Caenorhabditis elegans: one gene and its partners. The protein of the gene in region 4 purifies or fractionates together with the protein of the main gene of each other region. This does not show direct contact. Each region holds a gene or a part of one and is shown on either strand. Other genes may lie near its edges. The genes, in order: clu-1, eif-1.A, lsm-4 and egl-45.

The links.
Region 1: the proteins of egl-45 (region 4) and clu-1 fractionate together in Caenorhabditis elegans (co-fractionation; one large-scale study listed by BioGRID). This does not show direct contact.
Region 2: the proteins of egl-45 (region 4) and eif-1.A fractionate together in Caenorhabditis elegans (co-fractionation; one large-scale study listed by BioGRID). This does not show direct contact.
Region 3: the proteins of egl-45 (region 4) and lsm-4 fractionate together in Caenorhabditis elegans (co-fractionation; one large-scale study listed by BioGRID). This does not show direct contact.

Annotation. Positions count from the first base shown.
Region 1 is NC_003281.10:9,515,848-9,523,328, reverse strand, and holds clu-1 (Clustered mitochondria protein homolog), read left to right. Parts: upstream 1-1,868; coding exon 1,869-1,995; intron 1,996-2,040; coding exon 2,041-2,108; intron 2,109-2,153; coding exon 2,154-3,900; intron 3,901-3,951; coding exon 3,952-5,030; intron 5,031-5,138; coding exon 5,139-5,219; intron 5,220-5,347; coding exon 5,348-5,818; intron 5,819-5,866; coding exon 5,867-6,037; 3' UTR 6,038-6,698; downstream 6,699-7,481. Other genes in the region: mrps-23 (Small ribosomal subunit protein mS23), read left to right, coding at 1-167; prp-40 (WW domain-containing protein ZK1098.1), read right to left, coding at 222-604, 652-781, 828-1,096, 1,172-1,253; F55H2.7 (uncharacterized protein), read left to right, coding at 7,082-7,165, 7,211-7,402, 7,453-7,481. UniProt on the Caenorhabditis elegans protein: mRNA-binding protein involved in proper cytoplasmic distribution of mitochondria.
Region 2 is NC_003282.8:4,809,282-4,812,973, reverse strand, and holds eif-1.A (Eukaryotic translation initiation factor 4C), read right to left. Parts: upstream 2,041-3,692; 5' UTR 2,039-2,040; coding exon 1,939-2,038; intron 1,892-1,938; coding exon 1,607-1,891; intron 1,560-1,606; coding exon 1,294-1,559; 3' UTR 991-1,293; downstream 1-990. Other genes in the region: srw-95 (G-protein coupled receptors family 1 profile domain-containing protein), read right to left, coding at 39-317, 479-697, 745-845; H06H21.37 (uncharacterized protein), read left to right, coding at 3,010-3,183, 3,279-3,426, 3,477-3,490; ubxn-6 (UBX domain-containing protein 6), read left to right, coding at 3,487-3,692.
Region 3 is NC_003280.10:7,251,275-7,254,845, forward strand, and holds lsm-4 (putative U6 snRNA-associated Sm-like protein LSm4), read right to left. Parts: upstream 1,890-3,571; 5' UTR 1,828-1,889; coding exon 1,822-1,827; intron 1,780-1,821; coding exon 1,639-1,779; intron 1,408-1,638; coding exon 1,330-1,407; intron 1,322-1,329; coding exon of another isoform or gene 1,288-1,321; exon of another isoform or gene 1,280-1,287; coding exon 1,133-1,279; 3' UTR 958-1,132; downstream 1-957. Other genes in the region: prx-13 (Peroxisomal membrane protein PEX13), read right to left, coding at 1-76, 542-624, 676-729; ada-2 (SANT domain-containing protein), read left to right, coding at 1,288-1,321, 2,146-2,258, 2,315-2,775, 2,821-3,094, 3,145-3,373, 3,431-3,571. UniProt on the Caenorhabditis elegans protein: Plays a role in pre-mRNA splicing as component of the U4/U6-U5 tri-snRNP complex that is involved in spliceosome assembly, and as component of the precatalytic spliceosome (spliceosome B complex).
Region 4 is NC_003281.10:7,823,364-7,830,217, forward strand, and holds egl-45 (Eukaryotic translation initiation factor 3 subunit A), read right to left. Parts: upstream 5,264-6,854; 5' UTR 5,226-5,263; coding exon 5,115-5,225; intron 5,063-5,114; coding exon 4,931-5,062; intron 4,836-4,930; coding exon 4,426-4,835; intron 4,371-4,425; coding exon 4,257-4,370; intron 4,161-4,256; coding exon 2,685-4,160; intron 2,386-2,684; coding exon 1,670-2,385; intron 1,605-1,669; coding exon 1,333-1,604; 3' UTR 1,014-1,332; downstream 1-1,013. Other genes in the region: E3 ubiquitin-protein ligase kcmf-1, read left to right, coding at 6,064-6,094, 6,139-6,330, 6,581-6,732, 6,791-6,854.

The DNA of each region.
Region 1 (7,481 bases), 1.7 Mb from region 4:
ACAGAAGTACGGCTGGTATTCAAGTGGATAGCTCAAGAACAAGCGTCTCTCAGCAGTTCATCAACGAATATAAACTAGTCAAATCAGAAAATGCAGAGGCAACAGATGATCAGTTGTTCGAGATGACACAAAAACGTCTCAACGAGAATGGAATCGTTTTGAAATAAATGCTAAGTTATAGTTTGTAGTTGTTCATAAATTTGTTTTTCGTTTCAACTTACTCTTTCTTCTTTTCCTCTTTGAACTTTCCAAGCGTTAAATAATTGTTTCTTTTCTGAGACTTTGTTCAGAATTCTGAAACGAGGATCATTCTGGATCCATTTTACAGCCTGATCCCAATTGCAATTCGTTGTTATCTTTCCGTCATTATATTTGTCACGGAGCAGTTCACGGAATCGTTCTGACTGCCGTTTCTTCAATTCAACTTCATCGTTCACAGATTCTTCTTCTTTCTTTTCAGACGGAAGAGGTACATTTGGCATTGATGCGAGGGTAGCCTTCATGGCTTTGTCTAGATCGGATTCCGCCTTCTTTTGCTGAACAGCCGCTGCCAATGCGACAGTGTCCACAGTTGCAGCCTTTGCTGCTGGCTTCTGTTCTCCTTCTGAAATAAATAATTCAAATTGAAAGATTCTCTAGATAAAATCTTACTTGTAATTTCCTCTCCATCTGGTTTAACCCATTGCGTTTTCTTTGTAAGGGTATTATAATAATATGGTTTTCCGTCATCACTCATGAATTCTTTCCATTGACCTTGTTGTGGCTGTCCGCTAGTACTTCTCTGAAATCAGACTTCAAGAGCGCTGTAAACTATATTTTTCACTTACCTCGAGTGGAGTTTTTAAGACGTCTGGTTTTATCCATGACGTTTGTTTCGTTACACGATTATGATAATAAGGTGTACCCTTTTCATTCGTATGCACACTCCAATCAGATTCGACAGATGGGGATGAGTGGGATTCGTCTATGCCCATTCCAGGAGGTACCAGCATTGGTGAAGGCCTCGTCGGAGCTGCAACGTGCGGAGCAACTACAGAGTGGGTGGGCATTTGGAGGAGCGGAACTTGAGCGATAGATCCAACTGGTGGCATGCCAACTGAAAATGTTTGCATTAATATTAAATTATTTTATTAATTAATTGGCCAATTTTACAAATTTATGAAAAACTTGCATCTTTGGTTCAGGAGAACTTGTTGAATGTTAGCAGCCGCTACTAAATTGGGATTAAGAAATGAAAATCCATTGGGAAGCATTCTGAAAATTACTTGATTAAAAAGTGAAAACGAAAGAAACACCAAGGAAAATGTAGCATAAACAAAATTTGTGGAAAAATCGAAGAAAACTGAAACGCTGCGTGCCCCCTTTCGATGCAATCTATCGTCGGAAAATACGGTGGGGCGCACTTGCTTGCACCAGAAAAGCGCAATGAACGAGGATCGCGCCAACGTGATGATTGACGCATTCCTGGAGCAAAATTTTTACAATACACTTTGTTCCCAATTTCTCGTTTCCTATTGCATCAGATGTTTTTAATTTTTGATTCAGTGTCGGAAAATTAGAAAATGAGTATAAAAATAGGTGTTAATGATATTGCTTTCTGATATTTGTTCTCTGCTGCGCTCGTAAGTGCGATAGCATAGGATTTTTGTATATAATATCCTTTCCTTCTCCAAATCTGTAGTTTTTTTTAGTTCTTCTGCAACTTTCTCGGTACAAGTCTTCATGGCTGTTCCATTATCTATCCATTCGTTAATTGTGCTGTGCTCGCACAATTTTTCGAATTCCATGATTTGCGTCATAAATCCTTCATCGTTTAATATTTCGCTAATATAATTATGAAGATGAACTGATATTTAAATATTTTACAGATGACTTTGGGTTCCGAAACGAAAACTGATGTCGAAGTGCCGATCATCAATGGGAAGCACGAAATTCCTCAAGAGGAAAACGACTCAGGTCACTCGTCGATAAACACTCCAGACTCATCAGAACCAGGTGAGAAAAATCTAAAATTAGTTTTTTTTTATCCTTGAGTTTCAGATAAGCAAGTCGACAAGTTCGTGAAGATCACTATTCAACCATCTTGTGGAGACGCTTTCGAGCTACATGTCAGTTTTTTCTTTCCTGATTTTAGAATCCAGACATTTTTTCAGCTCAGCGACAATGAGTTGGTTCAAGAACTATACCAGACGCTGCTAGACCGTGAAGCTACTTGTCATAGAACTTGTTTCTCCTTGTATTTGAACGGAACAGCCGTAGACAACTACTCTGAAGTCCGTGCTATTCCGGGATTCGTTGATGGGTGCACCTTGAACGTGGTCGATGAGCCATACACCATTCGTGATGCTCGTCTCCACCTCCGCCAAGTCCGTGAATTACTCAAATTTGGACTTACTGAAGATCAGCACGAGCCCCCGTGTACCAATGATGCTCAATCATATTTGACAACAATCAATTTGCAACCAGAAGAAAAGAAAGAACCAAAACCTTCCGATATTCTTCCACCAGATCATGCTCTTCCAGGATGCAAAGAACGCTCCCTTGCTCATCTGCTTGTTCCACAACCAAAAGAGCTCATTGCCCTTAAAGATATCGCATTCTCTCCGTACAACCCTCCACCAGGACCTCGAAAGCTCAGAGGAGATGTCTTGTACATCGACATCACAACAGTTGAAAATCGCATCTACCATGTCACCTGTTGCACTAGAGGTTTTTATGTGAACAACTCACAAGATGGACGGTTCGATCCGACAGTATCGAATTCCAATAAGACTGTCTACCAAAGCGTCATTGAACTACTTCAAAATGTCAGTCCAGGATTCAAGAAAGTATATCCTCAAATTTTGAAGCGGCGTCAAGAAAAGACACTCGTTGAGCGACTTCCAACCAGTTACCCAGTTTCTTCATGGGTTGGAAATCCATTGAAAACTGATGGGTACATGAGTGACTCATTGAGAGCCATTGAATTGACAGAGCCGTTCCGGGTTGGATTTGAAGATCATATGCCAGGACTCCTTCGTGATTGGAATGAAGAGCTTCAGACTACTTTCGAGATGACCCGTAAATCCATTTCTGAGCGAGTAATCCGTGATCGAAGTTATTACAAAATTCATGCTGATTACGTAAATGCTGCTGCGAGAGGTGTTCAATCTATTCTTGATGGAAATATATTGGCTATAAACCCAGGAGAGGACAAGAAAACTCATATGTACATTTGGAACAATATCTTCTTCAGTCTCGGATTTGACGTCAGAGATCATTATAAGGAGCTTGGAGGAGACGCTGCTGCTTTTGCTGCTACATCGACCGATCTTCAAGGAGTGCGGGCATTTGCAACTCTTGATGATCCAAAACTCAACACTCTAGGAATGGCAATTTTCGATTATCGAGGATATCGTGTGACTGCACAATCCATCATACCAGGAATTTTGGAACGCGAGCAAGAACAATCTGTTGTGTATGGATCGATAGACTTTGGAAAAACTGTCGTCTCTGATGAAAAGTATCACGAACTGCTCGAGGATGCTGCTCACAAACTGAAAATGCTGCCTCACACCGTTATCAGCGAGAAAGACGGAGTTAAGGAAGAGTTGAAGCTTTATACAAGCTACGAAGCTAAGGGAATAATTGGAAACGATGGTAGAAAATACGTTTTGGACCTTCTTCGTTCAATGCCTCCAGATGTTCATTATCTCGATGACGCAGAGGTCTCTGAGGCCGCTAAAACACTGGGATATCCACGAAAATTCCCGCACAAGCTTTCGGCTCTCCGCCGTGAACTAATTGATGCGTTCTGTGAGTCTAGATTGGTCACTTTCATCCAGTTAACTGCAAAGAAGATCCGTGATCTGATTACCGAGTCAAAAGAGAAAAATGATGAAACTTTGATTAAGCAAGCAGGTAATCATTTCGTACAAAACTTTTCTTAATCAAATTATTTTTATTTTTCAGCCGAAGCAGAAACTGAACTATCACTACTCTTTATGGCCATCAGCGAAGATAAGGAGTTTGAAGCCAAAAACAAAGTCGTTCAAGATGCTATCAAGGAAGCTTGTGCAGTTGTTCATTCTATTTATGAAGATCGCTATGTTATGAAGTTCAATCCGGATTGTTTCTCATCAAATGTCAAACATGCACCAACAGAGAACCTTGAACGACAACGCCGTGTTGTTGTGGATGCCGCAGATTTCCTCCTTACCCAGAAGATTCCAGAGCTTGTTCAGAACTTGAAAGATTGCGTTGTGCAACCAATTGATGGAGATAATCTTGCTGACATTATGCACATCAATGGTATCAATATTCGCTATTTAGGAGAAATTGGAAAACGTCTTGAAAACAGCGTCTCATTTGCTCGTCCACTTGTTCTTTCGGATATCGTTGCTAGATCTGCAAAGCATGTCATCCGCAAGATCAATGTTCAAATTACTGCTGATCAACTCTCCGCAAGTACATCTCACATTCTCAACTGCCTATTCTCTGTAGTTTTGGATCCAAGCCCTATTGCTGCGAACGTTGCGAAGAAAGCCAATAAGAAGAACGGCAAGAAACGAGTTACATCTGCCTGGTCTTCGTTAACCACATCAGCACTTTGGAATAGTATCCGTGAAGATTCTGCCAGCTATTATGGATACCCGATTGAGGCCGACTCCCTTGAAAAGTTCACCGAATTGCATGATATCCAAAAAACTGCTCTTTTCCGCCGCATTTGCAAAGTCATGGGAGTTCAGCTCGTAGCAAGAGATTACCAATTGGATAACTCTACTGCAAAGAAAACATCAATTTTCGTTGAAGATGACATCATCAACTTCTTCCCAATCATCAAGCATCATGAACCATTCACTGCTGATGCTAAGAAAATGTTCATTCGTGGACAACAAGCGATGTCTATTGGTGCCTCCCGAGAAGCTTACGAGTGTATTGGCGAATCACTAAATCTCATGACACTTGTCTATGGTGTAATGCATCCAGATATGCCACAATGTTTGAGAGCTCTTGCAAGATTGTCCCACGTTCTTGGAGAAACTGGAGATGTAAGTGTCTTATCATTAGTTATTTTGGTTTTTAAAACAATTTAGCCGCATGAACACTGAATACATTGGAAATTGTAATATATAAAACCAATGCCGTATAATTTTCAGGCTTTGAACAACCAGCATAAGGCAGCGGTCATGAGCGAACGGTTGATTGGATTGGATGCAGGAAATACCATTATTGAATATGTAAGTACTATTAATAAAAAATCATCTGCATTAAATATGTTTTATCATCTTTGTTTTTCGATAAACTTGAAGAACAATGAGAACAAAATAAAGGGAATTTTTCTGCAATGACATTGAACATTTTTCAGATCAATTTGGCCCATTTCGCATTTGGAGCACTTCTCATTCCTGGATCTCTTCGTCCATTGTACCGTGCGAGATATCTCATGAATCTCGTATTTGGAGAGAAACATCCTGTAATGGCTCAAATTGATGCCAACATTGGACTCATTTTGTTCACTGTTCAAGAGTTCGACACAGCTTTGAAGTACTTGCAATCGGCTGATGCTATCACAAAAACTATTGGAGAACCGAGAAAGCTGAAGACTGGATTGATTTCCAATTTGATTGCCCGAACACATGCGGCTCGTGGAGATTTCCGAGCTGCTCTAGTTGCTGAAAAGGAAACATTCGCTATTTATTCCGAACTCTATGGACCAAATCACCCAAGAGTCAACGAATCGAGTGAATATCTTCGCACGCTTACTCAACAAGCTGTTACATTCCAAAAGAAAATGTTGAAACTTGACAATAGTACAAACATTACTGAATTGTTCCAGGTAATATTAAATTTTCACAATAGCAAAAAAATCGCAATATTTTTATAGGCTCAACCTCCAACAGTTACCTCTCTATTTGATACCTTAAACATCATCAACGGAATACTGATCATTGGTGTTCCTGGATTGTCTTCTCTCGGAAAACAGCAAAATGGGACGACTGAAGAGAGCAAGACTACAGATGTTGCTGCTCAGCTTGACAATGAGACTCTCGATTAGAATTGATTAGATATCACCCAATTTTTTGGAAGTTGTTTATCAAATTTCAAAAAATTTAGAATTACTTGTTCGTTGATTATTTTAGTTTTTAATAGTGTATAGCATATAGATCAGTTTTTGTTTCTTTTTGTTTTGTTTTTTTAGGTGTAGATATCAGTTTAGTAAATAACTTTTTTTTTGTTAGAAAACCGTGACCGCATTTTCGTTGCTTTTTTGAAATAATTATATGAGATAATTGCACCGTTTCTTTCTCTGATAACCAAAAACATTTGCTCAATTCCAAAAATCAGCCTGAAATTTTCAAATTTGCTCAGGAGCATTTCCCTCATTTCCCACAACTTAATCAATCACATGTTCCCGTTTTCATTGTCTTCTCCATCTATCTGTAACCCATTTCCTTCATACATGTTATGACTGTCGTTCTGACACGAGTGTCCATCGAAAAACTAATCATTTAAAAAATATACATCTCTGATAATCCGAGTACACTCCATCTTTTGTTACACTGATGCGTTTGTTCTCCTCGTTACCTGTTTTTTTGCCTTAGGATTCAAAGCCTTGTAGTTTAGTATGAATTTTCGTTTTTTTTTAAATTTTCCAATCAACTGTTATAAAATGTTTATTGTTTTGTTCTTTCTCCAATAATAAAATCTGAAAATCTATTTTTTGTTTCAGTTCTAAAATTTTCAGAAAACTTAAAGTTTCATTCTTTAAATATTTTGAAATATCTTGTGAACAAAAATATGAATTTGTTAATCAAGAGTATCGCTTTTTCCAATTTGTCAGAAAAAAAATATATAACTTCCATTATTTAAGAAAAAAAGTTGCAAAAACTGAAAATTGTGTCCATTTTATTTTTTTAGCAGTAGAAAATTATATTTTCTTGTTTTTGCATTTTTTTTGTTAAATGTTTTAAACCATAAAAAATTTTATCCGATTTTGTTCATGTTGATGAACAAAAAAATTATAAAAATGTAATTGTCCTCTAAAAATGAGAGACTTTAAAGCTTTTTCTCTCTTATAATTAAATTTGTTTTTCATAGAATGGCGAGTGATTGGAGACGACAATCAACGAGTAGAGGAATTCCGAATGAGGGACAAAATGATGAAAAAGGAAAACCGCTCATTGTGAGAGAATATTTAAAGTAAAAAAAACAAAATTATGAATTTCAGGGAAGATCATTTCTGCTCGAAATTGAAAATCGTATTCTACGAACAAACGTGGCAGAAGGATTACATATTTCTGGTGCTACAATAATTGATTCATTTGATGATGCTTCCCCACAATGTGTCATCTCCGATCACCCGATGGCTCAAAAATTAGAAAAAGCAAAGAAAGATGACCCTCTTTTTAAAAATGAAAAGGTACACTTTTACTGGTAAAATTAAAAATAAATAAATTAATCAAATTTCAGATGCTCAAAATAATGCCCGCACTTCTTCG
Region 2 (3,692 bases), on a different chromosome or scaffold from region 4:
TATTTTTAATTAGGCAAAGGTTGTTAAATCTGGATTACTTATTCATAGGCTTCCAGTCTCCAATTTTAACGATATCGTATCGGAAATAATATATTACAGTTAATGGAATGCTTGATAACAACGTTCCAATAACTAAAGTGAATCCGAATTTGGGAAAATTAACTTTTCGAAATGCTCTTCTCGTTGAAAACTTCAAGACGATCAGTCTGATTGTGGCCATAACTACGCTGAGCCACGTGGATGTTCGACGGAACAAATCATTAATTACTACATTGATCCAGTACATATAAAAGAATGAAAGTGGTGCAGGTGGTTCACTGGAAGTGGAAAGATGAGTTGATTTAACATCGGGTTACAAAAGTCAAGTACTGTTTACTACGTGATCTCTTTAACTACGATTTAACCACATAGATCTTTTACTACGTTGGGTTACTGTAGTAGTACTGTGGAACTAAGCTTTTGAATAAATGTACTTTACCAGGGTTTCACATTAAATTCCAAAATCAAATAAAGATAGTTATAAATAATAGAGACAAACATCACTAATATATCACAAATAGCGATTCCTATCATTATCAAGATTACGGACGATTTTAACATTGAATTTCGAGATAAAACGAATAAATGGAATGATGTTGTAAAAATCCCAATTGATGAAATTACAATATTAATGATTATTGATGGATGGACAAACTTTCTGGAATTTGACGGTAATATTACGGGATTTTCAAAGCTAAAACTTGCTCAACAGCTATAAGAAAGAAATATAAATCAATTCTAGTCGCATTATCATAGCTGGGAAATGCAGAAGTTGATAAGTTATAAAGAAGCACTCTGTCAATCATTTCATTCAAATTCAGCTTAAAATAACTGAAATAAATAATTTTTACTATATGAATACACGTGGCCGCGAGTTGTGACATTTTGATGCAAATGTTTCACCTGCTTTTCGGTTTGAAGGTCGAGAGTTGTGTGCTGCTTTAAACCCATAACAAGAAAAGTTTATCAGAAAACAATATAAATGAAAGGAAAATAGTGGAATACGGGATAATTTGCAATAAATGAGTTGTTTCATCAAGTGGTGTCCGATGGACCGAAACCTTGAGGTTGTGTTGATCATCGGACACCACAATCGAATTATTTCACTTTGTAGCATTCAAGTAACGGAATTTCGGGAGACAGAGAAGATGGGAAGATAATGTCTGAAAAGGATCGAAAGAGAAACAATGGATTTTTAGGGGGAGAAAGAACAGAAACCGGGGGAAACAATTAAAAACCAATAATTTAATCAATTTAGCGTCTCTTTCCGTACTTGTTCTTGCCACCACGATTTCCGCCGCGACGAGTGTCCTCTTTAAATCCACGACCAGCTGCCAAGTCCTCTTCCCGAATATTGTCCGAATCATCTGAATCTTCGTCTGATTCCTCTTCAGAATCATCGTCCGATTCTTCTTCCTTATCCGATCCTGCCTCTTCGTCAGACTTCTCCGAATCACTGTCTGATGAATCTGAGTCAGACTTTGCTTCTCCGGCCTCTCCCTCGTCTCCGACGTGATCCACTGAAAAAAAATTGAACTTCATTAATTTTCAGCAAAAATAAACTTACAGAACTCAACCTCTCCCTCGTCTTGTTCATCGTTCTCATTGAGCTTGGCGTTTTCTGGGATAAGTCCCTCGTTCTTCAAACGGCGAGCTTCATCTGGGGTGTACTTCAGAATAACATCTCCCTTGTCGTCTTGATAATCTCGGAGACCGACGAGAATGATATCTCCCACGTTGATCCAAACCTTCTTCCTCAACTTTCCACGAATATGGCAGACACGCTGCTTTCCATCAAAACAGAACACTTGAACACGACCGTTACCAAGCATTTTTGAGACTTGTCCATATTCTGGAATTAATGCTTTTGTTTTTCGGGAAAGAAGTTATAAAATCTACCTTGTCCCTCCTCCTTGAGGTCGAGCTCGCGCTTCATGAAGTCGTTCTCATTCTTTCCTCTTCTGCGATTCTTTCCTCCCTTTCCCTTATTCTTCGGCATTGCTGAAAATATTACGAAATAATTTGGAAAGTTGAAGTTACGAGAAATACAGAAGCAAAGAGGACTGCAAAAATTGTAGAAAAAACAAGAACATAAATATGCATAAGGTAATGTCAGATTTCAATGGAATTTAACAAAAAATTAAGAAGAATGAGTATACTATCCCAAAATAAACAGTTTGCTTGGATTTCGTGAGTATTTTGATGAAAAGTGATTTCTAAAAATTGGAAATAATAATTTTATCAGCGCTTGAGATTAAAATTATGTCGTCAATCGACAAAAATAAACAAAATAACAGAAGAAAAATTTCAATGAAAAATCGACGAAAATGTGGAGTGCACAGAAAAGTGGGCGGGGTTTGCTATCGCAAGAGCGCGGCGCGAGGTTACGTAACTGCGGACTTGGCGACACAATTTACGACACTCGCTATTTTTATTTTTTATTTTGCTTATTTTTTATTTTTCTCTCTAAAATTTTGTTGTTTTAACGAATTGTTTTCGGAAAAAAGTTATTCAGAATCAAAGATTACTTCATAGAATATAATTATTGTCCAAAATATAAAAGAATTGTAAGATAAACATCTCAAAACGAACATTTAACCGCAAAAACGTATTTTGGGAAAACAATCACAAACTTTTCACGCAAAAGTGTTTTACCTACATTTTTTTGTAGTTTATTAAGTCACAAAATTAACGACATCATGAAAAATACAGCAGATAATATTTTTCTGTCCGAAAGCTTTCCCCAGTTTAGTTTTCTCCAATAGAAAAACTCCAAGTTTTTTATAGCGTTTTCGAGATGAGCTTTTTTTCAAATTTTCTGAAATGAAGTTTGAAGTTTGTATACAACCCAAAATATATGTTTATCACCGTGCAATATCACAAATGTCGTCATCGCCTTCTGTCCTATTTCGCAATCATTAATTTCCGCAAATCTCTCTGAAAAAGAACTACAATTCCAGCTATTCTTGCATGGGAGAGCCTCTGGTCGCCGAGCCGACAACTGAGCAGACTCCGTTGAGCACAAATTCAGTTGCTTATCAGAGCTCCGACGCGCTTCCAGATTCCTCAGAAGCATTCGGAGTAGAAAACGTTTATCGTGCTTTGATTATCTTCTGTGATAATTATTCGTTGGATAAAAAACAAGTGCGTTAGAGAACATGTTTTTGAGATTTTCGAAATTTTAACGTGAATTATTGTTCTTGTTTCTGTCTAAAATGGCCAAAATTTGAAAATTTCAGGTAGCTCTCGGACTCTTTCTTTCTATTCTACTTTTCATCTTCTCTGTTGGCACTATCATTGCGTGGAATCGATATTCACCAATCATTCAGGAGTTTATCATAAGAGAGAACATTGAGAAAGCGAGAAATAAGAGCAACGAAAAAAATAGTAAGATATTTAACAAGTTCTGCACTGATAACCATTCCAATTTATTTCAGAGAAAGAAGAATGAATAGTTTCAAGAAATTCCTCAACAAAAAGCGAGTCCAGAATCACTTCAAAAAGAGCGGTGAAGGTGTTCGTTTGTCATCCGGCGAGTCATCTTCGCAGCCTTCTGCCCACGCTGGAGCCGCCCAGGGAGGCCAAATTGATCGTGTCGCGGCCGCTGATATTGCTGCTCAGGCTGCTTTCAAACGGATGCAGAAGAATGAACC
Region 3 (3,571 bases), on a different chromosome or scaffold from region 4:
ATATCCCATATGGTTGAAGCCACCACCAAATCCACCGTAACCCATTCCTCCTCCATACATTCCCCCACCACCATACCTAAACAATATACAATTTTATTAATACAAAATATTTTCAAATCGAGGCTGCGCGAAACGTAGGCCCCTTTGAGTTATACAGTAACCCATTCTCTATCATTTCGGTACTGACTTTATTCGGTAAATTACCCAGACATGATATTTTACGATTTTGCGTCAAGGATACGGTACCCGGTCTCGAAACGACACATTTTTCTTAAATATGAAAAGGTGTGCGCCTTTAAATAGTACTGTAACAGCAAACTCTCGTTGCTGAGGGACTTTCATCGTTTTTTCATGCTTCTTCTCTCTTTTTTATTAGTATACTTGAATTTAAAATTAATTTATCGGAAAAACTACGAAAAATCCATGAAAATAAGGCAGCGACGAAAGTTTGAAACTACAGTACTCTTTAAAGGCGCAGACATTTTAGCATTTACGAAAGAGCATTCAAAAAAAAAAAAAATATTTAAAAAATAAAACTTACATTCCAGACCCTGGAAACGTATTCATTCCATATCCTCCACCATAACCAAAACCTGTATTGATCATTGGATTCGACATTTGATTCTTAAATATTATCGATTAGTAGGAGTTTCAAAACAATTTATCAATAATTACATCAAATGACCTTGGCGGCAGCGGAGGTGGTTGATTTGTTGGAGGTGCGGACATTATAATTTATCTGTAATAATAAATGGAATGTCGTTATTCGATTTTGAAAAATGGATTAAATTCAAGAAAAAATAAAAGAAATGGCAACTATGAAATTGCCGTTAGTCACATTGTGGACTACAATCAATGACTGCAGCGGGCGGTTGATAAGGACAACGTCCCATACTAGACTACATTGTAGTCTAGTAAAAGAGTGGGAGGACAGATGAAAGATCTTAAGATATTGTTGAAGTATAATTCAATTTATTGTAATAAAATTTCAAAACATGTGAAACAACCCGACTTGGGGAAGATCAGAAGAGACGGAGGAAGGTTTGGTTTTTGGGTAAAAAAATAATTTCAAATACATAAATTATTTAGAGTAAACGAGAAATTGTTATCAGCAATCGAAGCACTGCAGGAATTATCGAGCTCCTCCGCGTCCGCCTCGGTTTCCACCACCTCCGCGGTGTCCTCCACGTCCTCCTCGTCCACCACCACGACCACGGGATTGCTCGCGCTGCTGTTGACGACGAACTTCGTTGACTTCAGTTTTCACGAGATCGACCACCTGGAAGAATGGGAAATGTTATGTTGTCGAAGAGAAAATCAGGTACTTACTGTTTCTGGAATTCTGAGATACTTGATAGTAGATCCCCGGACATACGCTTCTGACATTTTGAAGAACTTGTCACCGTCCTGTAATTTAACATGTATTGTTAGTCGCAAATTTGCATCAATCCGAGAGTTTTAGATGTTTGAAATATTGAGCTGACATATGAATGCAAATTAAATATGAAAGGTTCTTTCTAAATTAGAATCTGTGAGCCGTTTAAAACAAAATTATGTTTTTTTTCAATAATAACGAAAAGAAATTTCTGAATAGCCAGTTTCTCCTGGGCTAACCATTTAATTAAACGAAACACTTACTTTTGATGTGAAAATAACATCCACCAAATGAATATTCATCCACGAATCGCAGGCTTTCAGGTGACCGTTATAAGTCTCGCCGTTCTTCAACTCCACAAGCATCGGGTGGTTTTGAGCGGTTTTGAGAAGAGAAAGTGGCAACTGAAATCATACACTATTTGAGTTCAGCTTAATTCGACTTACCACCATGACTATATTGATTTAGTGGGGTTGTGATTGTTTTTCACTAGTAAAACTTAAAGTGAGACAATCTGCAAAGAATAAATTAAGATTTTAAACTGAAATTACGGCGAAAAGACAATTCGAAACAAAAAATTCCGATAAAAAAAGATTTTAATGCACACAATATTTACGTTAAACAAGGCGACCATGCGTCATTTCGGAGGGTCGTTGGTGGATGATCATTTGAAAACAGGGTTCACCTCTGCAATCGATTTTTCTTTGTTTTCATCTCAAGATTATTAGTTTTATTTTAAAACATGATTTGAGGAATTTTAATATTTATAGGTTCAATGGCTGATGATACCGGAGAACATCCGGTATGCTTCAACTGCACATTACGAGTCGACCAAACCATTCATGTCAAATGCTTTGAATGTCCTCTGCGAATTTGTATCCTCGTGAGTTGACAGATTGTGAAGTTTTTAAGAACATTATTTTATTTTTAAAATTTCAGTGTTTCCAATGCGGCGCGGAATCACCACCACATCGCCGAGGTCACAATTACGAGCTTGTCAAGCCAACAAGTAATCCCGAAGCAATGAGCTGGACACACGAAGATGAATTCGAATTGTTAAAAGCTGCTCATAAATTCAAGATGGGAAATTGGGGAGAAATAGCTGAAAGTATTGGTCGCGGAAGAAAAGATGGTCATAATTGCAAGGATTACTTTGAAAAACATTTCGTGCGTGGATGGATTGGACAATTTTCCATAAAAAGTTCAAGTTGGGATCGAATTAAATATGGGATGTATATAAATCAAACATTAGACAGTGTGCTACAAAAAAACTGTTTGGAATCAACGGAAAGAATGCTTCTGATTCGAGACGCCGTTCGTGCATCTGGAGAAAGCTGGGATGAAAACGATCCGAAACTTGCGATAAAAGTGCAACAAGTATTAGAGCAGTATGTGCAAAAGTAAGTGAAAATGTCCTATTTTTCATATATTTAGAATTTCTTCAGAGTAATCGATGGTGACATTGAAACCAAGTATGAGCGCCCAAAATTCCTTACAAATCAATATGAGACGGAGCTTAGCCCAGATGACTGTGATCCTGATAATGAAAGAGATATGAAATCGAAGCGATCAGTAAAACAGGAAATAAATACTGATGATAGTGATAATGACAATTCGCCGGGCCCGTCTTCCAGTTGTCGGAAAAAGGGGCCTCCGAGTCCAAAGAGAAGAAAAACTACTCGAGTTATGAGAGAATCAAGCAGTGATTCGGACGATGATGTGAGTTTAAGGAAAATAACTAAATTCAGTTTTATGTGTATTTTTTCCAGAAAAGTCAAGCTTCTGATAAAGACACCTACCACGGCATGGAACGCGAAACAGAAGAAGAAGATCCTCCAAGCGCTTTTGAGACTGCACAGGAATTTGATACAGAAGATGAAGAAGAAGAGAAAAAACCAAAGAGAGGAACAGCTTCGAGCTCAAAGAGACGAAAGCGAAGGAGGATGTGGGTTTCGAAAAAAGATAGAAGATTGCATGAATTCCGTAAAAAGATGAACCGTGAGCAGAAACAAGGAGAAAAAAAGTTAGAAACTCTCGGCGCAATTTGTTCTTTAGAAGAAGTTAAAGAGCTCAGAAGTGCATATCCTCGTCTACTTCATGAAAGTGGTGTATCAAAGTCGGAAACTCGTCCAAAAATGAGAAGAAGTGATGAGTTGAAAATTCTTGGATACAATAACGAACGTGAAGAATTGGAGT
Region 4 (6,854 bases):
CTGAAATTTTAAAGGAACAACGAAAAACTCGAGAGAGATCTAAAAACCTTGCTAAACTCCGTGTTCGAATTATTTCTACAATAAGAACTGGAAGACCAATTAGCGAATCGCTCCGCCCACTTTTGAACCAATCAGATTGAGTGGGCAAAGCTCGAAGTCACTGATTGGTCTTGCAGTTATCAGTTTGGAGGTAATTAAAACAGATAAAAATATATTCGGTTTTTTTGTGAATTTTTGTGAATTGTTCACTTTTTGTGGTATAGCTATATTTAAATTTCATGGAATTAGGGTACTTTGAAGAAAAATCCCCTTTGAACTGTACACCATTTTTTAAAATTCGTAAATCTCACAGATTGCTAAGAATGGTACTGTAATTTCAAACTTAAGTTGCTGTGGAATTTTCATTTATTTTTCATATTTCTTTTTAACTTAACATTAATAACACATACATTTTAACGAAGCGTGAAAAGAAACTATCAAAAATCAATGAATATTCCACAGCAGCGAAACTTTCAATCTACAGTAATCTTTAAAGGCGCACACATGTTTGTATTTAACAAAAATTGTCGTGTCGAGACCGGGGACTGTATTTTTGGGAAAAAATCACAAAATTTTGCGTGCGGGTAATAAAAACTTATAATATATCAAAATTGTGTTATATATATATGTTCAAACCATTGGTACGGTTTTACTTAGAAAGAAGGTAAAAGCAGGAAGCACATCCAGGAGAGGTGAATCATGAATACAACTGGTGCCTTCAGAAGTGTATGGGGCCACTGCTTGCTTGCCCCATACCATCTATCCTATTTTATTGTATTACCCCCCGTCTCCTCTCTGTCCACTCATGACGTCTCCGTCTCTACAATCAGCGTGCTCTCAGTGTCTCATTACGTCGTCTAAAGCACCCTCATACAGGTGCCCCAATGTGGCTCGTTTCGATGCGCCTCGGGCACTTTCTAAGTTGCTCTCGGACAAACGACGACACGCCCACTCGTTTAAGTCGTTCAAGTCGTCAGCTACATATGTCTTTATTCATATCATTACTCATAAATACTCAAACAATTGGGGTTTACGGAAAGATGGATGTGAAGAGAATATAGGAATTCTCAATGAGGGTCAACAGGGGATTCGGGGAAATTTAAATAACAACACCAAGAAAGTTAACGAAACAATTGATTATAGATGCGTGTGATTTTATAATTAGAGAGAAAGTGGGGGAAGGATAACCAAAACAGGAAAAAAGACAGAAAAATCAACCAGGATACTAATTTTAAGGACATTCGAGTAATTTCTGAAAATTGGATATGGAATCAGCACAAATTGAGCATGTGTTTATTTTCTCCAACTTCCACTATCGGCATTTCCCGTGTTTCCAGTGTTGTTAGACCGTGGTGGTGGTCCGTCACGACGAGGCAACGAGTTGCGGCCAGTTGGTGGTGGGCCTCGGAGTCCTTGAGCCCGGTCTGGTGGGCTTGTCACATTGGAATTTCCAGATCTAGCAGGAGCGGATTGTTCCTCGGAACCACCTGCTCCACCACCTCCTTGTCTGTTTCGAAGATGGGGTGGCACGAACCTCTTGGGTCCTTCCGATTTCGGTTCAGAAACTGAAAAATGATTATTTTTTTAGGTTTGTAGCGACAAATGTTTGAACAATAAAAACTAATCTTACCTGATGGGGCATCGGTCTTTGGTGGAGAAACGACTGGCTTCACTCCTCGTTCCCACTTATCCCCAGTATCAGCCTTCGATGCTGGACGGGGTGGATCATTGCGGCGAACATCGTCGTTGCGACGGACATCATCGTTGCGCCGGAACTCGTCGCTGCGGCGATCGTCAGGTTTACGAGTTGGTTGAGCAGAACTTCTCCAAGAGTTGTCAGTATCAGCTTTAGAAGATGGCACCTCACGGAATGGCTCTCTAGGTTCACGATCACGATCTCCACGGAATTCTCGAGGTTCACGTGTTGGTCCATCACGCATTGGTCTCGTTTCTCTTGGAGGCAAACTCTCACGTGGTGGGTTACGTCTCCAATCATTGTCTTGCATAGCAACCGAATTCTCCATTTCTCTACGACCACGACCATCATTGTGTTGACGACGTTGTCCTTCGATAACTTGGAGACGGGCACGCTCCTCTTCTTCGCGTTTCTTACGTTCTTCGGCAATCTTCGCCTGAATAGCATCTTCCTTTCGCTTCTTCTTACGATCCTCAGCACGTTCGGCAAGACGATTATTACGAACTGCCTCGAGCTTCGCTTGCCAATCAGACAACTTCTTCTCAAGAGTTTCCTGGTTGTCGATTTTCACCGACTCGACCCAATCAAAAGTAGCGTCTCGCACTTGATCCCACATTCCCCATAGTTTGACGTGTGAGTCATGAGCAGCACTGGAATATTATTTTTTATTACAATGAGAGATCAAAAAAAAGAAAGAAATCACTAATGTTAAAAATAGAAAAATTCTAATTTTCCAAATGAAACAACAAAATTATTAATATATGATCTAAATCGTGTTTATCGCAAAACTTTTGTGCATTTCATAATGCTAAGAACGACGAAAATCCTTCTCAAACTCAAACTTGCAGGAAAAGCAAAACTTAAGAGAAAATTTAAATAGACGCTTTCGGTTTTCTAAAATTTTAGTAGAATTTCAAAAAATTAACATTAATTGAAAAAAAAAACTTACATTTCCTTGGCTATTCTAGCCTCTTCGTATAAATCGTGAAGTTTTGGAGCTTCAGAGAGTCGCATATTCATCACTGCACGACGCTCGTTCAACTCTTCCAAGTGAAGAGCGCGAACATGATGGTCAAAGTTCTTCTCTTGTTGTTGCAACCGACGTTGAGTTTCGGCACGCTCCTTATCCAATCGTTCTCTCTGCTCACGCAGCACTTGCTCGGGATCCATGTCTCTGAATTGCTCGAGACCCTTTTCTTTGATAATTTCTTGGTAGATGGCGTTCTGCTGCATTTTGTAGAGCTGATCTTGCTTAATCTTCTTCTGAATCTCATCCTGTTCTGCTTGCTTTCTTTTCCGTTCGCTCTCCTTGTTCTGCTCATCCAATCTCTTCATCTCCTCAGCACGAGCTGCTTCCTCACGTTTAGCTTGTTCAGTTGCAGCCGCAGCAGTCTTTTCAGCCTTAACACGCTCCCAGTTCTCTTTGTAGTTCTCCAACATCTTCTTGCGACGGTGGATACGCTCGATTTCAGTTGGTCGGTTCTTTTCATAACTAGTGACCTGTCCTTCAATCTTTTTGAGAATCTCTTTGCGTCGTTTTTCGGCATCGAGTCCTTCAACGAGACCACGAAGACGTGTATACATTGCTTCAAGATGATTACGAACACCTTCCACTCCCAATTGAGTATCATCTCCAGTGAATCCTTCGTTGTTATCGCATTCATCGACTCCTCCGGCCAATGTCGCATCGGATGATCCAAAGCGAACACAATCAGCACGATGATCCAATTGAGCTTTCACAATTCTATGTTTGCTTGCTTCAACGACGAGACGCTCCAATGCCAAGTCAGAGTAAAATGGAATAATCTTTCGAATTCGTTCCCAGCTGATAGCTTCGTAGATGACAGATACTTGCTTCAAAGCCTTCACAGCAGCAACTGCTTGAAGAGACTCAACATATTGCAGATGGTCAGGGCGAGTGACAGTATCAAGAACAGATTGAACATCCTTAGCTACTTTTAATGGTGAGAAATTACTCTCAAGAAGCTTGTACAGATCCTTGGCGGTTTGTCCAGCAGCTTCTGGTACTCCAATCCGTGCGGCTTCCTTGAGAATTCCGTTTTTAGTTGGAGCAATTGGAAGACGAAGCAAATTTGAGAGAAGTCTCATGTTGGCTACATGTTGATCCTCAATATCAAGGTTGCGAGACAAATCAGATGGCGAATCTGATCCTTCTGGGATGGAAAGAGTAGCGAGAAGCACTCTAGTAGCCTGTTCTTGTGCTTCATCCTGTGTGAAAGACTTCTTCATATCTTTGTAAATGATGAACTTTTGAAGAAGGGCGGCGGCGTGGAACAAACTGTTTCCTGCTTTCCAGAACACCAATGCAAGTTTGTCATAATAATTGACATAGCTTGCAGGTTTTACCGTTCTCTTGTCTTTGTCTTTTGAAAGCTGCATCATTCCGTGAACGTCTTCTGCGCTTCTGAAAAAATAACATATAAAATTTGATTAAACAATCAATTCACTGGAAAAATAATCCCTCGCACATGAACTTTAAAAAAAAACAAGAAAAACATACTTGTAAGCTTCTTGCCAGAGCTCCATCTGAATCGCAGTATCCAATTGAATCAATCTGGTGTCTTGCATAAGACCTAGAGATTCTGGAGAAGTGAGTTTCACACGGAAAGAGTTTCTGAAAGAACAGAAAATATTTTAATTAGCGTTTACTGAATAGTGTCATCACTTACACATTTGGAGCATATTGGTGTTTTTGTATCTGATTCAGATGCATACGGAGGAGATCGCACAGCTTTCGGAACTCTGTTCTACGTTGATATCTGAGACAGAAAGTGAAAGAGTGGCGAGATATGGTGTGGTAGAGTTGTTCAACTTGGGCGTTGTTTCTCAACAATTCCAGACAATTTCTGTAAGAATCCCAGAGAAAACGGAGCCATGGTGCAAGAACAGTACGATCCATTCGATCTTGAGCAGCTGCTCCAGAAACAACAGCAAGAAGAAGGCGTTCAGGAACATCTCCTTGATCAAGATCTCCAATTTCTTCGACTTTTTCGATCGATTGTTTTTGAGCATCTTCAGTACGCTGCTCTGCGAGTTTCAAAAAATGCACCACAACTGTTTCGAGAGATTTCACATTGATCTGAAAATTAATTAATTAGCATGAATAATTTGCATTACTGTCAGTCAGAATAATAATTTTCTACTCGCAAAAGCAATCGTTAAAAAAAAGATAACCTGTTGAGTTAGAGCCTTGTATTGAAACAAAGCATCTTTTGCCAAGTGTTGTTTCTTCAGATCTACACACAATTCCATGTGCTTAATCATGATTTGTTCGTGAACAGTTGTCCATTGCTTGTGTCGTCTGGCCTACAACAATTGAAAATTCAAAGTTTCAAATTAGGAGCATTCTAAAGCCTACCTTGATAGTATCATGAAGCGTGTCAAGGGCATCGGACTCTTTTCCAACTTGAATGAGTTCTTCGGCGCGTTTCAATGCCGCTTCGGGCTTTTGAAAATAATTCGGAGCCATAGTTGTGCTCGGATTACCGCTGAATTGAGACACGAAGCCTGAAAATTGCGAAATGAAAAGAAGTTTACATTAAGAATCAATATTTTTTTTATAGAGCGTAATTCCAAATTCGAAATGTATTTTTAAAAAAAGATCACAAAAACGGTTCCGAATTTCAATTGGATCGATGTTAATTTGTACATTCACATTTTAATTGATCACTTTTTAACAGTTCGCCAGCAATTTAGCTATTACACTAAATTAAAAACTTCTTTAATATGTATTTACTGTAGAAGCTATGAAAATAGTTCAACTTTGCACATAGTACTTCAATAATCTAGACTTTTTGACTCGTTTTCAATAGAATAACATGTTTTCTTACGAGAAATCGATAAATTTCATCATTTTTGAGAAAAATTTGCACTATCATGAATAGAAAATTGTTTTCTATCATAATTTCACAACAGAAACATCAAAAAATTGCGGAAAACACTAAAAATTCGCAAAAGATGGCTGAGAATCCGACCGATCGGTTGGAAAATGAACGAAAAAAGGCTTTCGCGGCGAGACCTGCACGCGGAGAAAACTCTACGCGCCTTTAAAGCGCGAGTGTTATTTTCATCAGATATCCACAATGTTTACCCTTTCTTGCTAATTTTTTAAAGTTTTTCTTCAAATCAATGTTTAAAATCAATTGAGTTTTCCCAGTTCCACCTAAAATTAAAATTATAATATTTTATTCCACAATCACACTGAGAAAATCCACTTAATATAATCGATTTTTCCTGGCTGGTTTATTTTTTGCTGTTTTACAATACATTTAAACAATTGAATCGTTTTCAGCTTTCATAGTCGATTGATGGTGACTCCTCTTACTGGCACACACGAGGGTAATTGAATCTGAAAAGAATTACTAATATCTCCCTTCATTCAGGTGTATCGTGTGATGGGTGTGCTTTCACCGCGTTTGCTGGAAACCGTTACAAATGCCTACGATGCAGTGATTACGATCTCTGCTTCAGTTGTTTTACCACAAAGAACTACGGAGACCAGCAAACAATAGCTGATATCCCAATACACGACGAGTCCCATCCAATGCAGTTAATTTTGAGCTCTGTGGACTTTGGTAGGATTATAAATATTTACACATAACATTTGGTTTTATAAAAAATTCAAAGCTTTAATTTAATTTTATCGAAAAAAATTAACATTTTGAGTTTTTTTTGTAATAAATAAAATGACAAGTTTCATAGTTTTAACATAATTAAAACATCTATTATAAAAACATGGTGAGAGTGAGGATTTCAGAAAAATTAAAAATATATAATTTTCGTCCCCTAAAAAATTATGTTATCAAATATTAGTATTCTTTACAGACCTCGTATACCAAGGCGACCCTACGCGACATTATGACGAACGGAAAATTGTTTCCTTCACTTGTCCGTATTGTAATATAACAGGATTGACCGAACGGCAATTTGGGACACATGTACTTTCACAACATCCGGAGGCTCCGGGCTACAGTGTGGTAAGAGAAAATGCTAAACATAATATCCTTTAAATAACATTAATTTGTTAACGTCCAGATATGCCCGCTTTGTATTGGAAACACAGAGATGGAGCACATTCAATCGAAAGAAACTGAAAATT